7 linked regions of the Cricetulus griseus genome follow. The protein of the gene in region 1 interacts with the protein of each later gene in a pairwise test. Links are inferred from orthologs where the notes say so. Each region holds a gene or a part of one and is shown on either strand. Other genes may lie near its edges.

The links.
Region 2: the proteins of Creb3 (region 1) and Apod interact in binary tests that used the Homo sapiens proteins (3 or more experiments, as listed by UniProt). The two-hybrid records come from large-scale screens. The link is inferred for Cricetulus griseus from reciprocal best matches to the Homo sapiens genes CREB3 and APOD.
Region 3: the proteins of Creb3 (region 1) and Cgrrf1 interact in a two-hybrid assay, tested with the Homo sapiens proteins (2 studies listed by BioGRID and IntAct). The two-hybrid records come from large-scale screens. The link is inferred for Cricetulus griseus from reciprocal best matches to the Homo sapiens genes CREB3 and CGRRF1.
Region 4: the proteins of Creb3 (region 1) and Kcnk1 interact in a two-hybrid assay, tested with the Homo sapiens proteins (2 studies listed by BioGRID and IntAct). The two-hybrid records come from large-scale screens. The link is inferred for Cricetulus griseus from reciprocal best matches to the Homo sapiens genes CREB3 and KCNK1.
Region 5: the proteins of Creb3 (region 1) and Tspan2 interact in a two-hybrid assay, tested with the Homo sapiens proteins (2 studies listed by BioGRID and IntAct). The two-hybrid records come from large-scale screens. The link is inferred for Cricetulus griseus from reciprocal best matches to the Homo sapiens genes CREB3 and TSPAN2.
Region 6: the proteins of Creb3 (region 1) and Itm2b interact in a two-hybrid assay, tested with the Homo sapiens proteins (2 studies listed by BioGRID and IntAct). The two-hybrid records come from large-scale screens. The link is inferred for Cricetulus griseus from reciprocal best matches to the Homo sapiens genes CREB3 and ITM2B.
Region 7: the proteins of Creb3 (region 1) and Mfsd5 interact in a two-hybrid assay, tested with the Homo sapiens proteins (2 studies listed by BioGRID and IntAct). The two-hybrid records come from large-scale screens. The link is inferred for Cricetulus griseus from reciprocal best matches to the Homo sapiens genes CREB3 and SLC61A1.

Annotation. Positions count from the first base shown.
Region 1 is NC_048595.1:99,953,677-99,958,052, reverse strand, and holds the start of Creb3 (cyclic AMP-responsive element-binding protein 3), read left to right. Parts: upstream 1-1,481; 5' UTR 1,482-1,641; intron 1,642-1,728; 5' UTR 1,729-1,737; coding exon 1,738-1,884; intron 1,885-1,971; coding exon 1,972-2,128; intron 2,129-2,209; coding exon 2,210-2,280; intron 2,281-2,398; coding exon 2,399-2,488; intron 2,489-4,376. UniProt on the Homo sapiens protein: Endoplasmic reticulum (ER)-bound sequence-specific transcription factor that directly binds DNA and activates transcription. Plays a role in the unfolded protein response (UPR), promoting cell survival versus ER stress-induced apoptotic cell death.
Region 2 is NC_048597.1:58,142,599-58,146,851, forward strand, and holds the start of Apod (apolipoprotein D), read left to right. Parts: upstream 1-1,341; 5' UTR 1,342-1,355; coding exon 1,356-1,478; intron 1,479-4,253. UniProt on the Homo sapiens protein: APOD occurs in the macromolecular complex with lecithin-cholesterol acyltransferase. It is probably involved in the transport and binding of bilin. Appears to be able to transport a variety of ligands in a number of different contexts.
Region 3 is NW_023276807.1:202,871,133-202,874,761, forward strand, and holds part of Cgrrf1 (cell growth regulator with RING finger domain protein 1), read left to right. Parts: intron 1-2,923; coding exon 2,924-3,101; intron 3,102-3,230; coding exon 3,231-3,378; intron 3,379-3,629. UniProt on the Homo sapiens protein: Able to inhibit growth in several cell lines.
Region 4 is NC_048596.1:202,840,282-202,844,162, forward strand, and holds the end of Kcnk1 (potassium channel subfamily K member 1), read left to right. Parts: intron 1-3,098; coding exon 3,099-3,358; downstream 3,359-3,881. UniProt on the Homo sapiens protein: Ion channel that contributes to passive transmembrane potassium transport and to the regulation of the resting membrane potential in brain astrocytes, but also in kidney and in other tissues.
Region 5 is NW_023276806.1:54,211,368-54,215,594, reverse strand, and holds the start of Tspan2 (tetraspanin-2), read left to right. Parts: upstream 1-1,356; 5' UTR 1,357-1,385; coding exon 1,386-1,466; intron 1,467-4,227. UniProt on the Homo sapiens protein: May play a role in signalling in oligodendrocytes in the early stages of their terminal differentiation into myelin-forming glia and may also function in stabilizing the mature sheath.
Region 6 is NW_023276807.1:227,861,261-227,864,889, reverse strand, and holds part of Itm2b (integral membrane protein 2B), read left to right. Parts: coding exon 1-80; intron 81-511; coding exon 512-622; intron 623-1,880; coding exon 1,881-2,031; intron 2,032-3,037; coding exon 3,038-3,123; 3' UTR 3,124-3,629. UniProt on the Homo sapiens protein: Plays a regulatory role in the processing of the amyloid-beta A4 precursor protein (APP) and acts as an inhibitor of the amyloid-beta peptide aggregation and fibrils deposition. Plays a role in the induction of neurite outgrowth.
Region 7 is NC_048595.1:398,659,201-398,663,538, forward strand, and holds Mfsd5 (molybdate-anion transporter), read left to right. Parts: upstream 1-1,542; 5' UTR 1,543-1,715; intron 1,716-1,806; exon of another isoform or gene 1,807-1,930; intron 1,931-2,235; 5' UTR 2,236-2,253; coding exon 2,254-3,606; 3' UTR 3,607-3,811; downstream 3,812-4,338. UniProt on the Homo sapiens protein: Mediates high-affinity intracellular uptake of the rare oligo-element molybdenum.

The sequences.
Region 1 (4,376 bases):
CAGAAATCCCTGCCTCCCAGTGATGGTGGCCTCAGGAAGTCTTGGGCTTAGGCAGTAGAATAAAGAAAGTGGAGTCCCAGATGTCAGCAGTTCTAGCCGAAGCCCAGGACTGTGGCCTGAAGTTAGTCTGTCGTCTCTGGGTAAAAGAAGCCTCTCTGATTACACAGCAATAAGGGACCTCACCCCAAAACAAAGGCAGCTACTTGCTGCCAACTTCTCATGTTTTTTACCTGTTCAACTGTAGCTGCAACCCTCAACCCCTAATGCTGCCACCAATTCCTAACATTAATCCTGACTTTAATTTCTTTCCTAATTCCCCATTCTGACATTTCATCTCTTTCATAGCAGACACCCATACTAATCCAGCTTTTAATTTTAGGCCTAAATCCCTCAACTTTTACCCTAAATACTGACTCCTAATCCTAAAGCTCATTTTTTACTTGCTTTTAATTCACCTTTTCACTGTTTATTCTTAATACTAACCCTGACAATGGCCTTTAGTACCTAAACGGGCTTCTAAGCCAATTCCTGTGGTTGATCCTTAACCTGATTCGGTATCCTGATCATGCTGATCCCTCCAGAAAACAAAATAATGACCTCAAACTAAATGTCACCTACACGAAACAGACTTGACTAAAGCAGCTAATGTTTAAAATTTACTCGAGCTTCGTAACCTCTGAAGGGATCCTCACTTCCTAAACCCGACCGCACCTAATCCCAAACTCACCCAAAGCTTTCCTAACCACATACTCACTATCTGCTAACACCAAAGGCCATCCCCGCCCAGTGCCTCAATGCCACCCCATTCCTCACCCTCCCCCCCAAACCTAGTCGAGGGAGAGAACAGCCTGCTCCCACGAAAGGGGCCTGCCTCGCGACACACGGCTAGCTTAATTCCAAACCCAAAACGAAACGCATTGGACGCTGACCTCCCCAACAGGACCGGACACAGGATATGCAGGAGGATCGGGGGCCCCGCCCGCCGCTTCCCGGGCTGGCCTGGCCCCGCAGCCCCACCTAGAAGCTCCGGCCCGGCCCGCCTGGCCTACCTGCGCTGCCCGGCTCTGCGCCCCGCCCGCCGGCCCGCTACCCGCTCGTTCTCCGGGTGGCTCTGGGGCTCCGGCCTCGCCCTCCCTTCGACACTCTGGTCCACTTCCGTCCTGGAAATGTCTCCCACCCGCCGGCGGCGCCCTGGGCCCGCGCTCTATGGTCGCAAAGACTTCAGGAAGCTGCTCTAGCCGCAGGTCTCGATGCTCGGGCGCCCGCAAAGCCTGGCCGCCCCTCCCCGGCAGGAAGCGAGGGTGCGGCGCGCTGGAGAGATCGCCCGAACCAAGCTGGTGTTCCCTTTTAGACTCTTCCTTTTTCTAGCTCGCGGCGAAGGCGGAGCCGGGTCCCTAGAATCCCCGCCCTGGGGTGTGGGAAGCTGTAGGGACGTCCCTATAATTTGCATAGCCCCCGGGACGTGGCGCAGCACACGAGCCACTTCCGAGTTGGAAGGAACTCCAAGTCCCAGGATGCCTTGGGGCTATGTGCATCACTTCCGTTGTGTTGGAAGCTGAGTAGAACAGAAGCTGGGAGGTGGCTGTGGTTTTAGTGTGACCGCAGGCCTTCAGCCTTGTAGCCCGGAGTAGAGTGACTAAGGTAAGTCGAGCCGATTTGACAGTCAGACCGAGGGGTCGTGTCTAAGGTTCGGAGATTGCATCTGTGTACAGGGATTTCTATCTATAGATATCCCAAATGGATCCTGGTGGTCAGGACCTTCTAGCTTTGGATCCTGGTGATCAGGACCTGCTGGGCTTCCTGCTAGAGGAAAACGGAGATTTGTGGGCTGCGACCGAGCAGGATGTGGAGGCTCCGCTGGACTTGGAGCTGCCGCCTTCCGAGGTGGGTGGGCGTTCTGAGTGGGGAAGCTAAGCGACGTCCGTGAGACCCAAGGGTACAAAGATAAATCAAGGCCTGTGAATTTGTTAGAACTCTGTGCAAGCACTGAGCGACTGGGAGGTAGAGGATTTACTGAGCTCTCTGCTCAGTCCCTCGGCATCGCTGGATGTTCTCAGCTCCTCCATCTCTTCTATTCGACATGACCACAACTACTCCCTCCCACAGGAACATGTGTCCATAGATCTAGGTGAGTGTGGAATGTTAAGTTATGGGGGAGGAAAGAGCTCACTGGCCTAGCTAGCCCTACTTTTTTCTCCCTACTTTGCAGATATTGGGAGCTTTGAAAAGGAGGGGTTCCGCGTGACTCCAATGCCTGTGGGGGATACAGTTACAGAGCAGGTACTGGACTTGAGTTTTCAGGATTATCCCACCTTTCTCGACTGAGGCCAAGGTTCCTCCCATTCTGCTCCCACATCCCCATGCAACTTTTGCTCTCCACTATTTCCTACAACCTTAGGAGATTTCTAGGCTGATGCTGACTGAGGAAGAGAAGAAGCTCTTGGAGAAGGAGGGGCTTAGTCTGCCCTCAGCACTTCCTCTCACAAAGGTAAGGTTCCTATTGGTGGAGTAAAAGCTGGAGGGGCAGCCTGGCCCCTTCCAGCACTTGGGAGGCAGAGGCAGGTGGATCTCTGAGTTCCAGGACAGCCAAGGCTGCACAGAGAAACCCTGTCTCAAAAAACAAACAAAACAAACAAACAAAAACAAGCAAGCAAACAACAATGACAACAACAACAACAAAACTAGAGGGGGATTACATGACCCAAGTAGGCAAATTCAGTTTATTTCATCTCAATAACTTGAAAAAGGACTGAGGTCAGAATCTAATCTAAGCACACTTGCTGCTATTGGGAAGCTGGGGCAGGTAGATAAATAGGCTAGATTCTAGGGCAGTTCTTGACCCTGTAGGGCTTACCTAAATTGTGGTGTTCCTTTCAAAATTACCAGTGTGTGGCTTAGTTGGGAAAGGCCCTGCTGCCAGGTCTATCCCCAGGACTCACATGATGGAAAGAGAGAACTGACTCCTACGAGCTTTCTGATCTCCAAACAAGCCCACACCCACATACAAAAATATAATTTTTGAATATCAACTAACATGAGAATAGAGCCTTGAGAAGGACGACAAATGGAGGGCTCTTACAGATTTCATTGTGGTCGTGGTACTCCATATCTTGCTCACGGTAGAGTTTGGGAGGCTGAACCAGTCTAACAATAACAGTTGTCAAAGCTGGGCATGGTGGCTCACACCTCCACAGTCCTAGCACTCTGGATGCAGAGGCAGAAAGGTCCTCACGAGTTCAAAGCTACTTCCTGAGTGCTGGGCTTACAGGCATATACTACTACATCTAGCTTTTATGGTAAACATTTTTATGTCATTTGCCTTTTTAATGTTTTCATGGTATCTTTTGTTATGTAGATGTTTATTTAGGGCAGGAGAATCAGGAGTTAAAAGGCCAGACTTAGCGTCATGCCAAGTTTAGGCAAGCAGAGGCTACGTGAGACACTGTCTCCTATCCCTCTGCCACCATTACAAGATGAGTGAGCGATACAGTAGTTTTAGTAGGAAGGAAAATAGAATTTGGAAATTATCATCAGTGGTGCTGTCCCTAGTACAGTAACTGTCTTTTCCTCCTTAGTCCCCCACCCATTGAGATTTGAATAAAGTGCTCTAACACTGAGCTACAGCCTGCAGCCCTGTTTGTTGAGAAAGGGTCTTGTGAGCCCAGGCTGGGCTGGCCTCAGACTATGTAGTGGGTAAGGAATGCCTTTGAATTGATCCTCCTGCTTTTAACTCCTGAGGACTAGATTACAAGTGAATGACATCATTCTTGGCTAGTGCCTAGGCTGTATCAGAGAATATGAGAATTAACACTTTATTTAGTTTCAATTTCTGAAAAAAAGTTGAAGTGCTTTAAAGTAAAGATATGTTCTATATAGCCTCAAAAATTCTAAGTAAATCCTACCGATAGAAATTATAAGAAAATTGATGTTGATTTTAGGATAAGGATGGATTTTTGTTATTGTTACATAAGACATAGTCTTATGTAGCTCAGGCTGGCCTCAAACTCTAGCCAAGGATGGTCTTGAAGTCCTGATCTCCTCCCTCTCCCCGCCAAGTGTGGAGATTACAGGCATGTGCTACCACACCTAGATTAGGAGGAATTTGTTTTTTAATTAACTAAATTAGAGGCTGGAAAGATGACCTCAGTGGTTTAGAGCACTTTGTACTCTTTCACAAGGCCCAAGTTCAAGTCTCAGCACCCATATGACAGCTCACAACTGTTTGTGACTCCACTTCCAGGAGATCTGACTCCCTCTTCTGACCTATGTGGGCACCAGGCAGACACATTATACACAGACATACTATAGGCAAAACACCCATACACATAAAAACAATATCAAAAACATAGTCTGGCTTTTCAGTGTAAAACACCTGG
Region 2 (4,253 bases), on another chromosome or scaffold:
CTCCCCCCACCCCCCAGAGCCAGTTGTGCCACTGGAGGACTTCTGTACTGAAATAATGTTGCATTCCTCACTTAGGCGACAGGCCTCCTGTGGTTCAATGCACATCCGCTGTGAAAAACACCCTCGGCGATGGGGAAACATTTGGGAAATACTGGCCTGCTTCTGCTCTTCTTAATAACAATGTTAGGATTCAGCTGGGCAAGGCAGCAGCTCTGTAATTCCCAGCACTCACAGGCAGAGGCGGGGAGATCTCTATGAGTTCAAGACTATCCCAGTCTACAAAGCAAGTTCTAGTCTAGCCAGGGATAATAGTGATAGTAATAGATAGATATCTAGATATATAGATATATAGATAGATAGATAGATAGATAGATAGATAGATAGATAGATAGATAGATAATTTACTGAGCACCTGCTTGGTGTCAGCCACTACTCTGAACATTTATACTTTCCCCCAGCTCTCCCTCTTTCTGAGAGGAGGTGTCTTCCCATGTCATTAGAGCTGGTCTTGAATTGGTGGACTCCAGAGCTGTCCCACCTAAGCCTCTCTAATAGACCCCTTCACCACCACCCCTGCCTTTATTTTTATCCCATTTCATTTTCACAAAGATTCATGAGACAGGCCATGACTATTAATCTTACTTTATAAGCTAAGAAGCAAAGGTCTAACTTGCACAGTTACACTTAGTAGGTGGCAGAGCCAGAATTGGAACCCCATCTGAGTAATCCTGGGTCCCCCACATACTGCTCTTGGTTAAGGCCCCTGGACCAAGAGTGCATTGATAGGACAGCCCAGCAAGATGTTGGCAAGAGTAAAATGCGGGGTCTGGGGAGCACTCCTTTATGAGTCTCATAGGACCGTTAATGTTGTGCATGATTTGGAGTTGAGCTTTCTCATTCACAGACCCTTTGACCTTCTGGTGTACCTCTTTGTCTATTCCCTTTTGTTCTGGAACATTACTTTTGTTCTGGAACATTACTTTTGTTAATGTTCCAGAAACAAATACCTACTGAATCTGACATTTCCAAGATTCTGGGATAATTCTGAGGGAAACTGGACAGGGTGCTTACCTGGAGAAATATTCAATGGGACATGGGAGGGTGTGGGTCCACGAAGGAGGCTAATCTAGCAAGAGATCAAGAGGAACCAGTGCTCTGAGGTGATGGCCTCACTGTGGCTGGATGGCCAGGCTGACAGCAGCTGCAAGACGCAGCTCCTCCTCCATGCTGAGGAGAGTGCCAGCTGAGGGACTAGGCCCTCCAGAACTCTTCATCACTGTGTGTCCTCAGGAGACTCAGACATCTCCAGCTGTGTTGTTTCTCCCCAGGCCTCTCCTGAGGACACCAGACCCAAGATGGTGACAATGCTGTTGGTCCTGGCCACCCTGGCAGGCCTCTTCACTGCAGCCAAGGGACAAAGTTACCGTATTGGGAAATGCCCGTCTCCTCCAGTGCAAGAGAAATTTTCCTTGAGAAAGGTGTGGTAACTCAGGTTTCTCTTTGTTTTGATCACACTGAGAGGTTCATTTTATTCTTTAATCTCCAAAGCAAGCCTTGGGGGAGTGTGGGGGTCTCTGCAGTCACAGGTAGCAGAGTAACAATCTGTGTGAGGCAAGAAGGAAATACGGTTCAACATGACCCAGGAGCTGGTGTTGGTTCAAACTTCTAGAGTCTGACACCAGGCAGATTTATTTTAGTCATATTTGAGTACAGTGTAACTTGAAAAAATTTTCCTGGTATAATACAACCCCGTGTGCACAAAGCTGTGTGACTACACCAAAACTCACTCAAAGTACATGAAGATGGGCTCTTTAGATAAGCTGCATGTGGTATTTTAAGGGACTGGGAGAGATTCTAGTGTGGTCTCCATCATACACATAGCACAGAAGTGAACTAGTCTATTAGCCACCTCTGGTCCTGGTTGAGGGAGCTTGGGGGAACCCCTTGGCCATACAGATAGTGCAAAGGTCACCTAGATTATTAATCACCTCCATTCCTGGTTGAGGGAACTTGGGGGAGTGAGGTATGGCTTGGCCCTATAGATAACACAGGGTTACCTAGGCTATTGGCCACCCCATCCCCAGCCTTCTGGGTGGAAAACAGGCTTCTTGAAAAGACAACCCTGTGTGTTTAGCATTCCTGGCTTCCCTATTGCCATCTATGAGCATAATGACCTTTGCACTCCCAACAGGAAGGACACTTACCTTATTTTAGCTTTTCCCTGAAGCGGTCTCTGAGGCCAGAAAGGGGGGAGGGGGAGTCTTTGGTACCTTGGCTTGCCTCAGAGATGGATGTCAACAGGCCACAGGAGCTCCCATGGCCCTGGCGAGAGAGGGCATGGGGTGGCAAGCATGAGCAGTGAGGGAATTGTCCCCCACTGCTATAGGGAAGTGGGGGTGAGGTTAGGAGATGTGAACAGGGGCATTAACTGTGGCTGGTTCACTACTCTTGTCCTACACAGAGGAAAGGAGAGTGTCGTCCTTGGCTGACACAGCTGGTACATGCACATCAGGTTCAAAACTAGTCTTCCTGTCAGATAACTCGAGACGGGACCTGGGAAAGGCCAGAAGTCCCCCAGGGGATGTTCTCTTGTTACCTACAATATAACCAGCTCCCCATAAATGCTTTTTCTTCCCGGAATGAGGCAGAGGGAGCCACAGAAGGGTCCCGCTATTAGATGACAGAAACTCAGAGGTCCTATGACTGAGAAAGGCCTGGATTCTAATCAAAGGCCCCTTCTTCTTAAAAGGTTTTGCTTGCTTTTAGGGAGTGACACACTTAGTTTGAGCAACACTGACATTATCAGTCACTGGAACTTTGGGGTGAGTGTTGGGAATGTTAGAGGGTGAGCTAGACAGAGCTGGGACGAAAGACCTTAGAGATTAGAAGGGTGGAGTAAGATGGCAGCGAGTGCCCCAGGTAAGGAAGGAAAAGCCACACTAACTCTGCACTGACATTCTTCATTAATATTTTAAGGATTCCCTTTAATTGAGTCAACCAGGAAAACCCCAAAACAAAAACAAACAAGCAAAAAAAAAACACATTTATGATAATATCCAAGGAATTTGAGTTAGATTTTAGTGTGGGAGTTAAAATGCCAAATATATCCTGGAAATTATAGCTGATACCTTCACTTACAGAAGTCCTTTGAGAACTGAAGCAGACTGATTTTAAAAGTTATGTGTCTGTCCGTCTGTCTGTCCCTGTCTCTGTCTCTGTCTCTGTCTCTGTCTGTCTCTCTCTCTCTCTCTCTCTCTCTCGTCTCTCTCTCTGTGTGTGTGTGTGTGTGTGTGTGTGTGTGTGTGTGTGTGTGTGTGAAGGTGCCTGTGGAAAGACTGTTGGATCCCCTGGAGCTGGAGTTACAAGCAGCTGTGAGCTATCCAAAGAGTATGCCCGGATTTGAACTCCAGTCCTCTGCAGCAAGCGCTCTCTTCAGCTATAAATCAGAAATTTTTTAAGGCATGAATTTTATTAAGATTAGTTTATATAGCATATTACTGGCTTGTTCTAAAAAGTTTTTATTTCAAGGATTTTTAATATATTCACAGTTATGCAACCATCATTAAATCAGTTTTAGAAGGCTTTTATTATCTTAAGAAGAAACCACAAACCCACTAACAGTCTCTGTAGCTACATTACTCAGACTTTTCATCGTTGTGACAAATACCCGAGAGAAACAACTTGAAAGAGGGAAGATCTGTTCTGACCCCTGGTTTCAGTCCTTTCGGTCCATGGTTCATGTAGCCCACAGGCTTGTGGTGAGACATGTCATAGGATACATAGTTCAGAAGGCTGCTTAGCTTATAGTGGCCAGTAAGTAGAGAGAGAAACAAGAGTGCAAACAAGAGCCATCTCTCCCAAGCATGCACTCAGTGGCCTCTTTCCCCTAACTAGACCCCTTCCAATATAGCAAATCCATTGGTTTGGTCAGAGCTTTTGGCATCCAGTCACTTCCTTAAAAGTCCCACCTCTGAACTCTGCTCACATCAGGACCAAACCTCCAAAGCAGGAATCTGAGGAGAAGCTTCACATCCAAACCAGAACGCCCCTCTTCTTTCCAACTCCGCCATACCCACACAACCAATATTTTACTTTCTGTCAATATGCGTTTGTCTGTGGAACAGACGATGCTAGCTTTTTGTGACTGAAGGAAATGTTTCAAAGGTTCAGCTGCGTTGCAGCATGCATCAATACTCCACTCCTTTTGTTGCCATATGACGTATGGATGATACTACAGTTTGTTTATCCTTTTT
Region 3 (3,629 bases), on another chromosome or scaffold:
GCATTCAGCTGTGCCCATGTGCCGACAGTCTTCACTAATGGAAGAAGCAAAAGTGTTCACTGAGAGTGTAGCTATTAAAAGAACTCACTTAAAAAAAAAAAAAAACCAGTGGGTAGCATTTCCTGTTTGTTTTTTGTGGAGATGAAAGGAGGATTTTGTTGGAAGTTATAAGAACAAAGCTCATGGAAATGTAGATATCCGTAAGTTATCTACACAATGGTTATAAGGTTATTGTCTTTCTTGCACAGATAGTTTAATAGTTCAGATTTTTTTTCCCACCTCTGTATCTCAAGTACCTGACAGATCAGGTAGGAGTGAGAGCAAACATCCAGACATGATGTGACTTGACAACAAATGAGAGAATCACTAATCCATTTGCTAGGACAGGCTGCTGGGATTTTGTTGTTGTGTAACAGTGTTGTGTTTGGATTTTTGTTCAATTCATGTCCCCAAATAGAGACTTTACTGAAACTATAAGTTAGATGCTCAGTACATATTAGTTGAATTGGATTAATTTGCTTCAGGAAGTCTGTTGTCACTTTGCATGTATCTCCCCCCTACCCCAACCCACTTCATTTTAACAGAACCAATAAGAGCTAACATAAAACAAAAGACTTAGGCAAAGCACATGTCAGCATTTGGAGAGCTGTTTGCTAAACTCCATATCCTGCACCATTTCTTCTCCAGGTGCCTTGCCTCATCATCCTCACATATGGTCTCTGAACTTCACTGCTCACAGGAACTGGATGACTTTCCTGCCTGTCGCCCTTATTAAATGGCTTAGTGCACTGCACTCAGAGCCAAGGATATCTCTGGCACTGTGTGCTGTTAGCTGGGCTGGTTGCGGATGGTTGAAAGAGATCATACCCGCTTGGCTTTGACCTTTCTGATTTCCAGCTGCCCCAGTTTTGTTAATGATAGTCATGTAAAACAGTTTTATGTGTGCACTGAAATTTGGAAGAACATGTGAAAGGGGGAAACTCCCTACAGAAGAGGAGGAAAAATAAAGGGAGAACAGTTTTGTAAGGAAGTATGTGACCTGTTATCGGGTGACACCCATACAGGATGGATGGTCAAGGTCCTGACAGGTTGTGTGGTGGAGAATTCTGCGGATGCTGTGGCTCTTCTTCTTTATCTTCTAGTGCATGATTCCTTTTCAGTTGTCAGTCAATCAATACCTGGCTGAAATCCAGTAAATATTTCAACTAGAAATTTAATCCAGTTGCCTATGCAGGGTTCCTGCTAATTAAAATTTGTGCTTGATTAATTATATGTGGTCCTCTGTCACTGCCATCATACTGTTATCACACATAACCACCAAAGTAGAAGAAGAGTAAGGGAACCATCTTGCTCATCCTGTGAAGCATTTGCTTGAATTTTGTGTATCTTCCCACAGTATTTTCTCTTGATCACATTTTTTTTTCTGGTTTTTCAAGACAGGGCTTCTTCTCTATGTAGCTTTGTAAACCTGGCTGGCCTCGAACTCACAGAGATCCACCTGCCTCTGCCTCCCGAGTGCTGGGATTAAAGGCGTGCACCACCATTGCCTGACTTGATCACGTTTTTTAAAATAGGTGACAAATCAATCACACTTCCTGTTATAAGCAGCAGAAAAGGCACACTGAGACCTGCAGAGTTCCTGGTGGATCTAGGCTAGGTTCAGAAGCTAAGTGTAGCGCTAGGAACAGTGACCCATATTGCATGTAGGTCTAGTCAAACACATCCGCCTCTGAGCAGCTCCCCTTGCCAACAAGATGAGACACCAGAAGTCTTGCTCTTTGAACTTGGTATGCTTCAACTGCCACTAGTAAGGAGAGAAAACAATCATGTTGGTAGCACTTAAAGTACTATGTAAGCATAGAATCCATATATAAAACCACACATGCAATTTGTATGGCACTTAGTTATCTACTCATCAGGTCTACTGACATTGTAGCCTCCTTTTGTTGAAAGCAAAGAGAAAACAAGAATATTGCTATTGAACCTTCCATGGTTGGCATCCCTAACCATTCCTTGGGCTGTTCTGTATACTTGTAGAACACTATCCCTGTGGTGGACATTAACACTGCCATTGTGTGTGACGGTAAATCTTTCCGCCTGCCGCTCGAGTTCTACCCGTCACGTGGGTGGCCAAAATAACACACAGAGATTAATATTAGGTACAATGCTGCTGGCCAATGATTAGGATTTCTTAATCTATATATTTTATAAAGACTTATCTGATTGGATGCCAGTGGCAGGTGTCTTGCTGGGATCACATGGCAGCTCCAGAGCAGAGAGGAGGAGGAAGCAGAAGAGGGTGACTTCCTGTTTGTCCCTGCTTATATTCTGAGTCTGCCTGCTACGTCACTTCCTGCCTGGATCAAAAGACTACTACATTTCCCAGAATCCTCCTTGACTCCTAGAGTCCCACCTATCTTTCTGCCTAATTGGCTGAACAGTGCTTTATTCAACAACCAGTAAGATAAACATGCACAGAAGGACGTGCCCCATCAATTGTGTATGTTAATAATCAAGTGCAGTTTCTTTTTAGTGTTTTTCTTACTTTAGTGATCTGCATCCGGACCCTCTGGGTTGTTTATAACCATTTTGGATGGCTCCACTCTGCTGTTTTGACCCTTGTGTTAATCACACAATGATTGCATATATTATTAGGAAGAGATGGTTTTAGTTACCAATAGGAAAATTGGACCAATCATTTTAAAGACAATAATTTTAAAGAATAATAAAATGTTACTGCATTGCTCAAATTCTGCATAACTATTGACATTTTTATATTTGTAGATAATATCCTTCAACAGCGTTTAAAAACTGCCATCAGGTTGGCCATCGTCCAGAAAAAAGCCTGTGTTTCTCACACCTTGGTATTTTAGTATCTGCTATATTGGGTGACACCCATCTCTCTCTGATTTGTTTTCTATAGCTGGCGTGACCTTGACAACAGATTGCCTTGAAGACAGCCGTCTTACATGCTTCTGGGGGTGCAGTGTCCAAAGGCTCTATGAAGCTCTTCAGAAGCACAGGTACTGCTTCAGGATAAGCACCCCACAAGCGTTAGAAGAGGCCCTGTACAGCGACTATCTCCACCGGGAACAGTATTTGTATCCTTTTCCCAGATACACCCACTGGCACAGAAACAGGAGGCTGTGGATACAGTAAAGTGTCACCAAGTTATTGACTCTTTAAAATATTTTTGTTCTTTTGGCAATTTGCCTTTACGTATTCAAAAGTATTAAAAAGCACAGCAAAGAAGAAATATATTGCCAATTACCGAGAGATACTGAAATTGAAGACTTTGGTCCAGTTCCCAGATCTCGCTATCCGTTGGTAGCTCTGTTGACCCTGGCTGATGAGGATGATCGGGAAATTTATGATATTGTAAGTAATTGAAGCATCTGGAATGCCTTACCTTTACCAGATTTGGGTGACTCTTAATTATTTTTGAAATAGGAAAAAATAATTTCTGAAAACATTTTTTTTGGACTTGGACACACATGTCTTGAAAATTTAAAACATAGATATATCCCTGTTTAATTTTTGTATCTGTAACACACCTTCAGAGTATGATGGTCCATCTCCCTGTGCCCTGAAGGTGACAACAATATGACTATTTATAAAATAAAAGGTAG
Region 4 (3,881 bases), on another chromosome or scaffold:
AACCGTAGGCTCACCAGGAAAAAAGACTGCACTCACAAACCCCCAGTGTTTTCCATGGCTCATGGCTCCAGTCCAAGCATAGCAAATATTTACCAAAGAGCCCTGCAGGAGGGTCTCATACTCTTTATTGTTTCAGAGTGTGTGTGTGACTCAGGGTCCATCTCACAGCCCACCTGCCTCACTTGCTGATGTCTAGCTTGCCTCTAATTCAGTAACATGGCAAATCTCCTCAGTGTGGAGATCTTTTTGTATTTGTGTTTCTTTTAGTTGGGATCTCTCCAAGAAATAGGATTACCGGCCCCAAATGTACACACTTCTTTTGTGTGTTACAGAACACAACTCTGAGGTCCCCAAATGGAACACAAGTCCACACAGTCACTGGTATCTGAGTTCCCATCCTCTTTGGGTGGCATTGACCAAAAGAGTTCTAGACATTTTGCATGTGAATTTGATAGCAATATAGATAGACATCATCTTGACTTTTCTTTCAAGCTAGCAGGCAATTCTTTAATTTTCACTTTGCTTTCTAATTTCTTTGTGAACGGGAGGAGTAGAATGTCCCCGTGGTTGTGTTTGCTAGTTCAACTTTCCTGTGTGTAAATTGTCTTCTTCGGTCTCCCAATACATGATCTCCCTCAGCTTTCCACAAAACAATGAATCCTCCCATAACCTGGGCCTTTGTTACAGTGTGGACTGTGTTTCTCAGGCAGTCAGCCAGGACGGATTTTATGCTCTGAGTGTTCAGAACTTGAATATCTAAGGAATGAATGTTCCAAGGTGTAGGTAGGATAAAAATCCCACAGCTCGCTTGAAACCCCCTGGGCACTTCTGGCAATATTCCAGAGTCAGGTTAAATTATAACCAAAGAGAGAGTGAATGTGTCTACTTACTAGCAATGATACTGCTAAACACAAGAAAGTCCCTGTGGCACCAGCTTACTGTCATAACCAACAGTCAAATCCAGAGACAACAAAGCTTTGTCCTCCAAGGACATCCAGGTCCAGTCTCCTACAATGCAAATTTTAACGTTCCTCATCTGTGTGCTTTCTGGAAATCCTCCTTTCACATTTTACTACGGGGGGGGGGGCATAAAATGAGGACTTTGGCATCCCTCTCTGTGAGTTTATCTTTTTGTTTTTCTGAAAACTGATTTCTTAAAAAAAAAAATTGAAACTGACTTAAAATGACTATTTGCCCATCACAAGTTCCAAGAAATAGCAGTTATCCTTCAAGAACGAGAAAATTGTAGTTACATAGTGAATCATCCACATGCCCAGATGCTGACAGTGACATCGTAGGAGGTTTAAGATGCAGAAATTATGACAAGAATATTGAGTGCTCAGAAAGATGCTCACAAGATGTGAAAAACTTTCTGTGACTCTCTGATTCTAAGGCCGAGGAAGAAAGATGTCACTATCGTGGGTCATTTGACTTAGGCAAAGCCACATTAGCAACAATTGACTCCTCTAAAAATTGAAACCAGGAGAGGTCAGGGTGTTCAGCTTAGCATAGCATTAGTGGTGTTGAGCAGCAGGGAGCAAATTAAAAATGGCTGCTGTTGAGAAAGACAAGAAGATTTTTGTTCAGAAGTGTGGCCACTGGCACACTGTGGAAAAGGGAGACAAACATAAGACTGGACCAACTCCATGGTCTGTCAGGCTGCTGGATTCTCTCACACAGATGCCAACAAGACCAAAGGCATCATCCAGGGAGAAGATTCCCTGATGGTGTATTTGGAGAATCCCAAAAGTACATCCCTAGAACAAGACACACGGGTGTGGGCCTAGGCCCTATCCCAAAGGATACGAAAGACTCTGATGACACCCTATGGAAGGCCTCACCATCCAGGGGGAGCAGAAAAGATATGTGACAGATAAGGTTTTAGTTGGAGGGATAGGGGAGGACAGATGGGAGAAGGGAACTGGGATTGTCATGTAAAACAATCCTGTTTCCAATTCAAATGAAAAAAGTTGGAAAAAAAATGATCTTTGCTGGAACTAAGAAGAAAGAAGAGAAAGTAAACCTAATGGCTTAACTTAAAAATTTTACTAACATGTAATACCACCTGCCTTATTTATTACAAAAAAGTCTCATGGCTTTTAATGTGTGCCATAATTTAATTCATACATCAGAACTCAGATCATGAATGGCCAACAATGTTTTGTGTTGGAAAGTCCAGATTTAGGTAAAACTGACTGGTGGTAAAGTGGATATGATCTCTTTTAAAATAACAATTCCAGTTGCGTAAACACTGCTCTCCCCCAATCAGTAATATTCAACTTTCTACAAAGATGGTGGTGTCACTGCAAAACCAATTGGATGGTCTCATACTTAGATTTATGAAACTGGGCATATGGATGTGTTTAAATACTGGGGAAATGCTCTTACGGCCTTAGAACCAAGCAGAAGATGTCTGTGCTTCTGTTTGTGTTCACTGGCCTGTTACAGGCCATGGTTAAACTGTCTATTCTTGACAATGCCGATTTAATTAGGATGCCCTTTGTCAAGGATGCTGCCTTTTATTGCTGAGAGGTGTGGTTTATGTATGATATCAAATAAAGAGTGTTCTTAAAAAAATTGAAGCCAGGACTGGGGAGATGGCTCAGCAGGTAACCGTGAGCACAGTATGCATGAAGACATGAGTTTGAATTCCCAGCTCCCACATAAAAAGCAGGGTATGGCTGTCCACCTGCATCTTAGTGCCAGCTGAGGTGGAGATAGAATGATTGCTAAGGCTTGCTGGCTGCCAGCCTAGCTCCAAGTTTAGTGAGAGACTTTGTCTCAAGAACTAAAGCAGAGAGTGGTGTCCTTGGGCCTCTGTACACATATGCATGGGCATACCCTCCTGCTATCGTGAAGCTCACATATGCAATTGAAGCCTGCAATTGTGACTAATCCAAGTTCATTGATGGCTAAGTCATTTCATTCTTCTTTGCATTCCTCCATGAGCTGTAGACTTCAAACATCCCTTGAAATAAACTGGCAGTGGACCTGCTGGAGAACTCTTATGTGTGGCGTGGGAGGAGAATAAGTCATTGGGTCTTGATTTTATGGTAACTAGGTCAAACCGAGCTGCTGCTGTGTTTTCTCCCTTGCAGGTTACCTTCTCCTCGGACTCATTGCCATGTTGGTCGTCCTGGAAACCTTCTGTGAACTCCATGAGCTGAAGAAATTCAGGAAAATGTTCTACGTGAAGAAAGACAAGGATGAAGATCAAGTTCACATCATGGAGCATGACCAGCTGTCCTTCTCTTCCATCACTGAGCAGGCAGCCGGCCTGAAGGAGGATCAGAAGCAAAATGAGCCTTTTGTGGCTTCCCAGTCGCCACCCTACGAGGATGGCTCTGTGAACCACTGAGCGTGGGCCATCAGACCCCGGACATGAGGCAGAGCCTTGACTGTGTCCATTTTTACAAGAAGGTTGAAGCCAAGATGATGTTATTTTAAGAAATATCTACTGTTAACAATAAAACAGGGAACTTTGGGCTCTGGGGGTGGGTGTCTAATCCCTGGGCAAATGAGATGTATACCTGTAATTCAAAGAAGATGCAGTCACCTGGACATCACACACTGGGGACAAATACTTGAAGCAGTGTACTGCAGTGGATGGAGGCAGATTTTATATGTAACTGGGGACTCTCCGTTTGCATTCCAATCATTTTGCCGACAGCTAAATAGCAACATTTATATTTAAAAACAAACAAAAATCTATAGAGATGTATTTTATAAATAGGTTTACGTGTCCTGGCTTGCATGTGCCTATCCTAAATGATTATTTTTGTAGAGTCTAAATTAATTCTATTTATAATGAATAAGTTACCATCCACTGTGTACATAGAACATATAAATATGTTTATATCCTGTATATATGTGTAGGCTAC
Region 5 (4,227 bases), on another chromosome or scaffold:
CCAGACCAGGGGTAGCTGTTGAAATAACTTGCCCATGATAATATCTGTGGTTGTCCTGTTTAATGATGGGTTTTTGTGGCCCTGTCTGTTCCTTGTACTGTGTTTCAGTCCCCATTTCCCCCTTTTACTTCGTGTGTGTTTATGCAGTAAGTTCACTTGTGGTCCCCAAACCTACGCTGTCTTATAACATTTTCTTTCTTCCTTCTTTTTGATTTTCTTATTCCTATTTAAGATAAAGTCTCACTGTATAGCTAGTTCTGCTGGTCCAGAACTTACTATGTAGACTAGCCTGGCTTCTAACCCACAAAGGATCTCCTTGCCTCTGCCTCATATGTGCTGGAATTAAAGGTGAATGCCATCACTTTCCAGTTCTTTTAATTTTTTGTTGCTGTTTTGGGGACAGGGTTTTGCCATGTAGCCCAGGTTGGCCTAGCACTTGAAATGTAGCCCGGGCTGGCTAGCACTAGTTACATAACTCAGGCTAGTTACATAACTCACAGTAATCCTCCTGCTTTAGCCTTCTAAATCCTGGAATTACAGGTACACACTATCACACCCAGCTTTCTTTCTCATTGCATTTTTGGAATGCCATGTGTATAACTGACCCACAAGACCACCTAGCAGTTGGGTCTGTGACAGGCTGGCCTTGAATAGATTCTCGCCCAGTGGCTTCTCTGTGGGACCCAGAAAATTTCAGAAGTGCTAATTCATCCTCTCATCTGAATCCTTGCCTCCTAGATCATAATGGATGTTCCATTAAGCCTTTTGTTTGTTGGTTTTTGGGTTTTAGTGCTCTTACTCATTTGTTTTTAGTAATTACCACCAAGGTTCAGCTCACTCTGTTGTATGAAAAGTCCATTCCTAGGCCAGTGAGGTGGCTCGGTGGATGAGGGTGTTTACCACCAAGTTTGACAATCTGAGTTCAATCCTTAGGACCCACGAGGTGGCAGGAGACGACAGACTTCCAAAAGTTGTCCCTTGGCCTCCACACACTCTCTGTGGCATGTGCATGTGTATGCCCTGCCCCTCACCCACACACAATGCATGACTAATGTGAAAACAAAAGTCCATTCCTCTAAAAGCAACAGCATTGCTTCCTATAATCCTGCTAGGTACACTGGTGGTAATCCCTCCCCTAGAAGGAGAAAGGCCACAACAATGTTCCTTCACTGCTATAGTGATTCTCCCCGGCCCTCATGGGTCTCCAAACCCCTCCTTGTCATCCCTACTGTGCTCCTCAGTCACCTGAGCATTTTTCTGTGGCTGCTCACTGGCAGCCAAGCAACATTCAGCCTCCTGCCCACTCCCACCGAAAGATGAGTTAAGTTCCTCTCTCCCCTCCCCGGGGGGGCCCTGCAGCGGCCTTCCCAGGATGATGTCAGGCCATGCCATGGCTGTCCTGCACTCATGTGACGATGATGCAATGTGCTCCCCAACCCTGGTCTCTTCCTCAGCATAGCATGGAGGTAAGAGAAGACTCTTATCCCTGTGCTGTTCCTTCTGCCTCAAGCTTTCTCAGCCCTTGATTTCTTTGCTACTCCAGAGGTCCACCTCACTCTTCAGGATCTAACTCGGAATGGGGATGACTGCCCACAGGTGGTGTGCTCTGCGTCCTCCCCTGGTGGCGTGTGTTCTTCCTCTTCAGCACGGCTGCCACATCTTAATGCCTCTCTTCCTTTATGTGATTGTCTGACATGCCTCTGATAAGGAGCTCAGTACCTGACCTGGGTTGGGCCATGGTTGATTGTTACTGAAAGCACAAGGAAGAAAAATCAGTGAATGGAGATAGAGGTGGGGTGCTCTCCTTTCTTGCTTGCTTCAGCCTTAGCTGAATGTAGATACAGTATGTCTAAATGCAAAATGGGCTGAAATTAAAAGCAGTGTGACATGGGAGACGTGGGGCTCTACTGAGTTAAAATTTAGGACTGAAAGCTTCCCTTAAATGTGGGGGAGAACATCTTCCAGCTATAGGGAATGCACATAGTAACAAGAACCTTGTGTGACGGGAAGCTTGCTTCCTTTGCTCTTGACTGGGATGGAGTTAGTGTGATTTTTTCCCCCCTTGAGCAATTTCTAGTGTGCAGTACACCAACCTCAAGGGCAACAAACATGGAATCTCATGAGCCTGACAGGGCTGGAGCATTCAGAAGGGCAGAAGAGTTACATAGTTGCTGCTGTGCCTTCTTCTGAAGCAGAGATCATTCTGCTTCTCCTCACAGAAGCCCTGGCCAGCTGCTTACCCACACGTCCCTAACACAGCCCATAGCACTCGGGGAGGATTCCCTGCCACACAGTGAAGACATTCAGCTAAGCCACAGTTTCCTTGACCCAAGGAGGAAAGCCTTGTGTGTGGTTTGGGGTTGGGGATGTGGATGAGCAAGCGCAGATTTTTTCCCCATTGCCCAGTGGCTCTAAATTGCAACCTCTCTTTTCATTTTCCATTATGCCTCAAACACATCTGTGCCAAAACTAGACGAATGGATTCTGTCTGGGAGGATGATCCAGACAGCTATAAATTAGAGTTTGTGTTCAGAGATTCCAAAAATGTGGCCTCGTGGTAGGGTGTCCCTGAGACTAGTCACCTCCTCCATAGTCTGTGTGGTGGCTGCTGGTTTGGGCCCAGGGCCTCCGTCAATAGATTTTTGCTTTGTGTTTGGAAACTGTCTTTCCATTAAGGCACTAGAGAGGCATGAAAGCAGGGAAGCCTGTGAGGTTTGCTGGGCAGACTCATCCCAGGCAGCCCCAGGCATTTCTAGGGACAGGTTTAACCGAGGACAGTGCTCCTCCCTGCACATAATAGCCAGGGACCCCAAGGCTGGCACCTTCAAGAAGACTCTCCAGTTCCCATATTGGACAAAAAAGCTAGTATGCAATGCTTCTCAGAAAGCTATTTTTTTCAAGCCTAGAAGACTGATGCATAATTGATGGAGAGCCCTTAGAAGACAGAAGGGAAGCATCACCTGCAATTCCACCCTTAAAGATAAATAATGTTATGCCTTAGCATGACTTCATCTCATGTTTCCACATCAGCCTCTTCTTTTAAAAACCCTTTCAAAAGACAGTTGAGGCCAGCTGTTTTAGCCGCCCCATAAATTACCCCGTTAGTGTCCTCTCTAAGGGCTGGGAAGCCTTAGTTATTCCACATGGGAGTAGCCAGGGGGTAGAGCCCTCACTAAAGGCAGGCCTGCATAGTTCTTAAGAAACCAGTCACACAGGGACTTGGCTCTGGGAAACAAGAGACGAAGAGGAGGAAAGCCCTCATAAATATAGCCAGGTAACCTTGCCAGGGTAGCACACATCCCTCTCAAGCAGCCCTACAGGAGAGAAGGAACCTGCCCAGGAAGGCCTCTGGCCTAATCCCCCTGGATTTTTCCTTATTACACCTCTGCTCTGCATTCTCTCCTTGACTTCTGCTGCCAGCATCTTGGGGTGCTCTCCTCTTTTCAGATAAGAGCAGACCCTCACTGTCTGGTGAAAGGCTAGGGCTGCCCAACAGTAACTAAAGAGTTAGAGATGCAAGATGCTCTTTTTACATCTCTGCTGATTTCCCCATAGTGCTTTGTACTCACAAGGTACTCTGTAAATAACTATTAATTGATTGATACAGCGATATTCAAGAGTGGTGTTGTAGAGAAAGCACCTTGGCTGGAGCCTGCTGGCCTGCAGTTGCGACAGTCCTGCGATTGACATGCAGGGCTGCCAGCTTAGACATGGAGCCTGTGACAGCCTTCAGCCTCAGGAGAGGAAGCCTGGTGATGACTCTACCAGCCGCCAGCCTGCCCAGCCTCTGCCTGTGCCAACCACTCAGCCTCTCCATGAGCCACATGGCAATACAGACCCTGCTTTTTCAGAAAAATATTTTTTCCTTTCTTGCTTTCCATGGAAACTCAAAATAGCAACAACAACCAAAAAAAAAAAAAAAAACCTTTCCCCGTCTGCAAAACCATGCCTGGGCACAGGCAGGGCAGTGGGCACCATGTAGGAATCAAGAGAGGGGTCACAGGAGTCTCCGAACAGAGTTCTAGTTGGAAACTTTGTCATGAAGTGTAGGTGGGCTCCCAGGTTGGTGTGGGTTTGTTTGGGTTTTCTTTCTTTTTCTTTTTTCTTTTGTGTGTGTGTGTGTGTGTGTGTGTGTGTGTGTGTGTGTGTGTGTGTGTTTTGTTTTGGTGGTTTTTTTTTTTTTTTTCTAATTTAGAAGGTGGCTTCCCCCAGGTCTTAGAGTTCTTC
Region 6 (3,629 bases), on another chromosome or scaffold:
ATGAGGTTGAATTCATCAGTGTGCCTGTTCCAGAGTTTGCAGACAGTGACCCTGCCAACATTGTGCATGACTTTAACAAGGTGAGCCTGTCTGTGTCCAGGATTGTGGACAGCATAGGGCTCTCCAGGGTATTTGCAGTTTTAATATTTGCTAAATTCTTCTATCTAGGGTTTAGTTGGTACTTAAGAGAGAGGATGGGGAGAGTTGGTGACTCAGAGCATGTGTCTTGTGCCAGCACTGGGGAGGCTGAGACTGGAGGACCAAAACTTTGAGGCCATCCTGGTCCACACAGTGAAGTGCTGTCTCATGGGGTTAACAAAAATAGATTTAGGTTCCTTTCCCTCTGAGGCCTGGCCTTCCCATACCTCTCTGTCTGTGGCTTGCCTGCTGACCGCACCCAGTTCTTACTGAGATACAAGTGACTTATAAATTCTAAAGTGGGCCCATCTTGCCAGTAGCATTCTATGTATCTCCAGTACACTCATCTGACTGAGATATATCTTTTCTCCAGAAACTCACTGCTTATCTGGACCTTAACCTGGACAAGTGCTACGTGATTCCTCTGAACACGTCCATCGTTATGCCACCCAGAAACCTGTTGGAGCTACTTATTAACATCAAGGTATCAAGTGTTTACTGTGTCATGGAATTCCTCTTTGAAAAGTTAGCCTTCTCGGAGCTCACTCTCCTGGAGTGTAGCCAAGGGTTTTACAACAAAGTGCTGACACTTGTGCTATGTTTAATTTTTAATGCTTTAAATTTTGAAGTTAAAAACATTTTTAGCCAGGTGGTGGCGGCGTATGACTTTAATCCCAGCACTCCGGAGGTAGAGGAAGATGGATCTCTGTGAGTTTGAAGCCAACCTAGTCTACAGAGTTAGTTCTAGGATAGCCAGGGCTACACAGAGAAACTCTGTCTCAAAAAACCAGAAGAAGAAAAAAAGAAAAAAATTTAAAGCATTCAAAATGGGCTGGAGAGAGCCCAGCCGGTGAGAGTGTTTGCTATGCAAGCCTGACAGTGTGCGCTCAATCCGTAAAACCCACAGTGGGAGGAAAGAAGCAGCTCCAGAAAGTGATCCCCAACATCCATGCTCAGGCCTCCACATTCTATACACATGCACCTGCACATAGCACATACTGTGTACATGTGCACGTTACACATATACAAACAGTGCACACACGGACACTACACATGCACACACACAGAGACAGTATACTTGCATACACTGTACATACACACACTGCATTACAGATACTACACATGCATGAGACAGTACACATGCACATATTATTCACACAGAGAGACACTATACATCCACACTGTAATACAAACACACTGACACAGAGACACTACACATCCACACTATAATACAAACACACTGACACAAACACTACACATGCACACTATAATACAAACACACTGACACAGAGACACTACACATGCACACACACTGTACACATGCACATAGTAAATGATAAATAAAATGGAAATTTTTAAAAAATTAAAAATTTTTTTCATCACATTTAAATTTTCCTGAAGGACTAGAAAATAAATATTAACCAGCTACTTAATTCTGATGCCTCAGTGATGGGCATGGCTGAATTGTAACAAAACTGTATTGCTGGGTACAGTGACACGTGCCTGGACACAGCCCTGTCTTCTTGGGAGGTTGAGGCAGAACAATGATCTGAGTTCGGGAATTGAATGAAGATTGGCTTGGGCAACAAAGTGAGACCCCAATTCAAAAATCAAAACTAGATCTATAAAATGGAAAAATATTCGCAAACCCCATTTTAAAACTATCACCCGAGGCTTTGTCTGCCTTTCTTGTTTGCTCAGTTTGTGTTTTGAAAGTTTTGCATCACATTTTCCCACTGTAGGCTGGAACCTACTTGCCCCAGTCATACCTTATTCATGAGCACATGGTGATTACCGACCGCATCGAAAACGTGGACCACCTGGGCTTCTTCATTTATCGACTGTGTCATGACAAGGAAACCTACAAGCTGCAACGCAGAGAAAGTATTAGAGGTAAAGACAATCGCATAGTTCCTATGGCACTTAGGTATTGTGATTGATGTTGCTGCCACAGATGAGAAATGAAAGGGGTACTGAGTCACACTTGACTCATATTTCCAGAACTTAGAATCATCTTAATCCCAGAGCCACTTCTCCCAGATAAAGTCAGTCAGCACAAAATGCCATTGCCTTGAGATGCCCACCCATCAACCTGCATGTAGAAAAGTCAGGTTTGGGGGTCTCATTATTCAGAGGTCTCTCTTCAGCATTTCACTTGGATTCTCAGGGATCTGAATTCTCACGGGGCCATCCACCTTTTGGATCATACTGAGGACAAGCCATAGCCAGGTGACTTAGCAAGAAATGTAGGTGACGAATCCAGAGCATTGATATAACCATGCAGCTTTGGCCAGGCACGTAGCCTTGCTTTTCCCCCTGAACAGTAAGAGTAGCAGCATGTGCCCATTACAAATGCAAAACAAAAGTGTGTGCGATGATACACAAAGTCCACAGTGCCATCAGCGACACTGCAGTCTGATTTCTTGGGGATTACATCACCCAGTAAAAGTGCTTTCTTGGCCTCTTCTCATAACTTGTAATGACATTGTTCTCAGCTCAGGCTGCTGAGTCATCTGAAACCCACCACTTGGTTTCTTACATATAAGTTACTATCTTGGTTCATAATTTTCTAAAACCAGTTTGCTAGAATGATGTCCAACTGTCCTGGTGTGCAATTCTGCAAGCACACATGGGAGTGTGTGTGTGTGTGCAACACACATAACTAGGACATTCCCCAAACCTTCACGCTCATACATCTGCAAGCGGTTTGTAAAGCACGGTTACCAGTTGCTGTGGTGTCTGAAAAGATGCAGTGGAGAACAGCTTTAAAGAATGGAAATTGTGGGTGGATGTGGCGTGGCATACTTCTTTAAAGAGAAACTGAGAATTAATGTGAGTAGTTATCACTGAAGAACCAAACAAAACCTTTAAAAACCAAACCCTTTGTCTTCCCCAACAGGTATTCAGAAGCGTGAAGCCAGTAACTGTTTTGCCATTCGGCATTTCGAGAACAGCTTTGTTGTGGAAACTTCAATTTGTTCTTGAGCAGTCAAGAAAAGCATGGGGAGAAATTTAAAGCCACAGCATAGCCCTCCCCTTGTATTTTGTGCAGTGATTATTTTTTAAAGTCTTCTTTTCATGTAAGTAGCAAACAGGGCTTCACTGTCTTTTCATCTCATTTAATTCCATTAAAACCATTATCTAAAAAAAAAGAAAACAACCTTTTTTCTTTCTAAGTGTGTTGTCTTTGATACTTGATTTAGCAAATGTGTGGCATCCTAGTTCTCCATAGAGCTTACATATTAGGAATAATTTCATTTATCTGACCTTATGTGTTATTTCTGCAGTTCCGAGAGGAAGGGTTACCTAAGGAATTGTCATTTATGTGTGTTAAAAGGACCACAGTGACTGACTTGTAGATGCTCCCAGCCCTGCTCCCTTGTCTGTTAGCCTTTGAGCCCAGCTCTAATATTCCTTTAACTAAGCTGCAGTACTCTCGGTGTTGCATTTAACTACTTTAGAGTATGATTTCACCTTGACGTCTCAACATC
Region 7 (4,338 bases), about 300 Mb from region 1:
GGTGGTGAACAATTTTAATCCCAGCACTCAGGAGGCTGAGTCAGGCTGATCTCTGTGAGTTGGAGGCCAGTTTGGTCTAGAGTGATTTCCAGGACAACCAGGGCTGTTAAATAGAAACTCTGTCTCGAAAAACCAATATAATAATAATGAATCTTTAAAAAGTATTAACTTAAGCCAGGCGGTGATGGTGCACCCCTATAATCCCAGCACTCGGGAGGCAGAGACAGGTGGATCTCTATGAGTTCGAGACCAGCCTGATCTACAAGAGTTAGTTCCAGGACAGCCTCCAAAGCCACAGAGAAACCCTGTCTCGAAAAAAAAAACAAAAGATTTACTTTTTTATGAGTGTGAGCCTATGTGATTGTATGCATACTACCTTTCTGCAGGCACCTTCGCAAGTCAGAATAGGCTGGTCAGATCTCCTGGAGTTGGAGTTACAGATAGTTATGAATCACATACTGGATGTCGGTACTGGCAACCAAACTCTAGTCCTCTGCAAGAACAGCAGGTTCTCTTTATATATTAATCACTGAGAATTCTCTCTAGGCGTTATTATTATTATTATTGTTGTTGTTGTTGTTGTTAGAAATTTATTTTTTGAGACAGGGTCTCATTCTTGTCTAGTCTTGTCTAGCCCTTACTATGTAGCCTAAGTTGGTCTTAAATTCTAGGTAATTCTCTTGCCTCAGCCTTCCAAGTACAAGGAGTACATGAGCCACCATGCCTTGGTAGGCAGTCTTCTCTAAAAACATGCAGGAAGTAATGTGCTGAGGCCCAGGTGGGAGCCAGTAGGCAGGGTGGTAGCAGATGAGGTCATTGAAGTAGCAAAAAGCCCTGGGACAGATGCATTTGTATGCCATTAGAAATATTTTGACTGCCATCTTTAGTGAAAAGGGAAGCCACTGGGGGGCTGCAGGACATAATATTGAGGCTGAAGGAAACTTAACAAACATCCCAAGATAAAGCAGTTCCTAGGTAGAAGGAGGTGGGAATTGAGCTCCAGGACTGCAGTTTTAAACTCTGCGTTCTCACTGAACCTTTAGCCTTCTTCATGTGGGCACTGGCTGCTGCTCTCCTATGAGTTCACACAAAGAAAGTGGGACTCGGAGGGAGAAGTAGGGAGGCTAGGCTAAACTGGTAAAGTGCTGGGTAAGACTGGAACCTCAATCTATGTGCAGCCGGGAGTCCAAGTTTTTTACACCACACCGCCTCCCTCAGGTGTCTGGACAACATTGACTGCGGGCCTGGGAGGTCTTTAAGGGAGATGCCTGGAGTAGCCTGGGCTTAGGGCAGTGGAGTTCATTAGCAAGAGGTAGCCGCTGGCTCTCAGGGACTGCAGGCATCCTTCCGAGGTACCCCGTGGTGGAAAACAGAGAAAATACGTTTTCATTTGGGATGACCCCGCAGGTATCCGTGGGTTGGAGGAGCGAAACAGCCCCAGAGCCACCGCCACGAGCTGCAGCCCCTTCCCCACTGGCTCTTCAGCGCCAGGGCCTGCGGGGTAAGGCGGAGGGGCGTGGCTTTCTGCAACCCGCCCCCGTCACGTGACAGGGCCATCATGGCGGCGGCCACGGGCCAGCCCGGCTCCCGGAAGCAGGCTGTGAGGGGCGGGCGCGCTGCTAGAATCCGAACGGAGCCGGAGCCAGTGCGGGGAGGGCGGCCCGGCGGCCTGGTGCCGGACGTGTCCGGAGCGTCCCCGCAGACCGGGGCAGCAGGTGAGACGGGAGCCGGGCCAAGTGCGAGCGGGTGAGGGACGCTAGGTTGGGGCTAGGGGGCGCAGGGGGTTAGCGTGACCCAGGGTCGGGGGAACCTGCCATGCACGCGCGTGACCGTGAAGCAATTGGAGAGGCCCTGCGCGGGCGGAAGGGATGCTCGGGATAGATGTGGAGACGCTTGAGCTCCAGGACTGGCTCATCGGCGAGGATGGGAGGTAACAGAAGAAGCGTGCAGAAGCTATCGTGGGGAAGGGCAGCAGCCCCTTTATAACCTGCGGGACCGGGATTACTGAAAGGAGTCCCACTTTGCTGTGCCAGGCCAGGGTGGGGCGAGTGCTCTGGCCTCTCCCCCATCTCACCCTTCCCTGCCCCACAGAGTCCTAGGTGACAACCACTCCTCCCACCCACCCGACTGGTCCCTCCGGTCTCAGCTCTGGGCGAGTGGAATTGACACTGGAGTTGGGTGGAGCTGTGCTACCTGGATTATGGATGTGACTATAACCAGTGTTCTCTTCCCCAGGTCGTCCGGGGGCCCACCATGCTGGTGACTGCCTATTTGTCTTTTGTGGGCCTCCTGGCCTCCTGCCTGGGCCTGGAATTGTCAAGATGCCGAGCCAAGCCCCCTGGAAGGGCTTGCAGCAACCCCTCCTTCCTTCAGTTTCAACTAGACTTCTATCAAGTCTACTTTCTGGCCCTGGCAGCAGACTGGCTCCAAGCCCCCTACCTATATAAACTCTATCAGCATTACCACTTCTTGGAGGGTCAGATTGCTATCCTCTACGTTTGTGGCCTTGCCTCCACAGTCCTCTTTGGCCTGGTGGCCTCCTCCCTTGTGGACTGGCTGGGTCGTAAGAAGTCTTGTGTCCTTTTCTCCCTCACTTACTCTCTGTGTTGCTTAACCAAGCTCTCTCAAGACTACTTTGTGCTGCTGGTGGGCCGAGCACTTGGTGGGCTGTCTACTGCTCTCCTATTCTCAGCCTTTGAGGCCTGGTACATCCATGAGCACGTGGAACGGCATGACTTCCCTGCCGAGTGGATCCCAGCTACCTTTGCCAGAGCTGCCTTCTGGAACCATGTGCTGGCCGTGGCAGCAGGTGTGGCAGCTGAGGCTGTGGCTAGTTGGATGGGGCTGGGACCTGTAGCACCCTTTGTGGCTGCCATCCCTCTTCTGGCTCTGGCAGGGGCCTTGGCCCTTCGAAACTGGGGAGAGAATTATGACCGTCAGCGTGCCTTCTCCAAGACTTGTGCTGGAGGCTTGCGCTGCCTTCTGTCTGACCGCCGTGTGTTGCTGCTGGGCATCATACAAGCCCTGTTTGAGAGTGTCATCTTCATCTTTGTCTTCCTCTGGACTCCTGTGCTGGACCCACATGGGGCCCCACTGGGCATTGTGTTCTCCAGCTTCATGGCTGCCAGCCTGCTGGGTTCTTCCCTGTACCGAATTGCTACCTCCAAGAGGTACCACCTTCAACCCATGCACTTACTTTCCCTTGCTGTCCTCATTGTTGTCTTCTCTCTCTTCATGTTGACTTTCTCTACCAGCCCGGGCCAAGAAAATCCCGTGGAATCCTTCATCGCTTTTCTACTTATTGAGTTGGCCTGTGGGCTCTACTTTCCCAGCATGAGCTTCCTTCGAAGAAAAGTGATCCCCGAGACAGAGCAGGCTGGGGTTCTCAACTGGTTCCGAGTGCCCCTGCACTTACTAGCCTGTCTAGGGCTCCTTGTCCTACATGACAGTGATCGAAAAACGGGCACTAGGAATATGTTCAGTATATGTTCTGCCGTCATGGTGATGACTCTGTTGGCAGTGGTGGGACTCTTCACGGTGGTCAGACATGATGCTGAGTTGCGGGTGCCCTCACCCACGGGGGAGCCCTATGCCCCCGAGCTTTGATTTTTCCAGGGCAAGGTGCCTGGAATGGACTCTTGAATCTCACTTACCCACCTGTATGACTTTGTGACTGACTGTTCTGCAGCCCCTCTTGCCAGTGCTTTGTATTGGGAAGAACATGGGGGGGATGGACTGGAAAGGTGCCAAAAGTTGACTGTGTTAGTCCTTTTCCCCTTGCTGTATAAAAATAAACACTTTTAATGGATCATTGATTTGATTTACTGTACCCACCTCAGTTTCTGGTGAGGGGGCAACTGGAGATTTTGAGGTAGAGCCGGGATTACCAGCAAACACTTTATATTTCTGATGTCTTCAAGTCTGTCTCCAGTCAATCAGAGCTGTGAAATGTCTCTCAGCAGAACTGGGTAGAGATGTCCAGAGGCTAATAAAGTCTCCATTCTCTTGCCTGGGACAAGTACTCTATCCAGTTGTCAAGCAAAACCCTTGATCTACATGCAGGGGAAGATGATCTCTTGAAGTTGTTACATGGTGCTGAGATCTGAACTCTAGTCTTCATGATTATGTAGCAAGTGCTTTCAACCACTGAGCCATCTCTCTAGCTCAAAGGGGAAGATGATCTTTGAGCATGTGGCCAGTGCCCTATATGTCAGGTCATTGAACAAAGATTCCAGAGGTTTGGGTACTTTACTGCAGTGATTACTCCATTAGGATAAGGTCTTTTCTCTAGGAATAAGCTTGCTGATCTGAACAGGAATGCTTGCCTGTCTTCTGCCT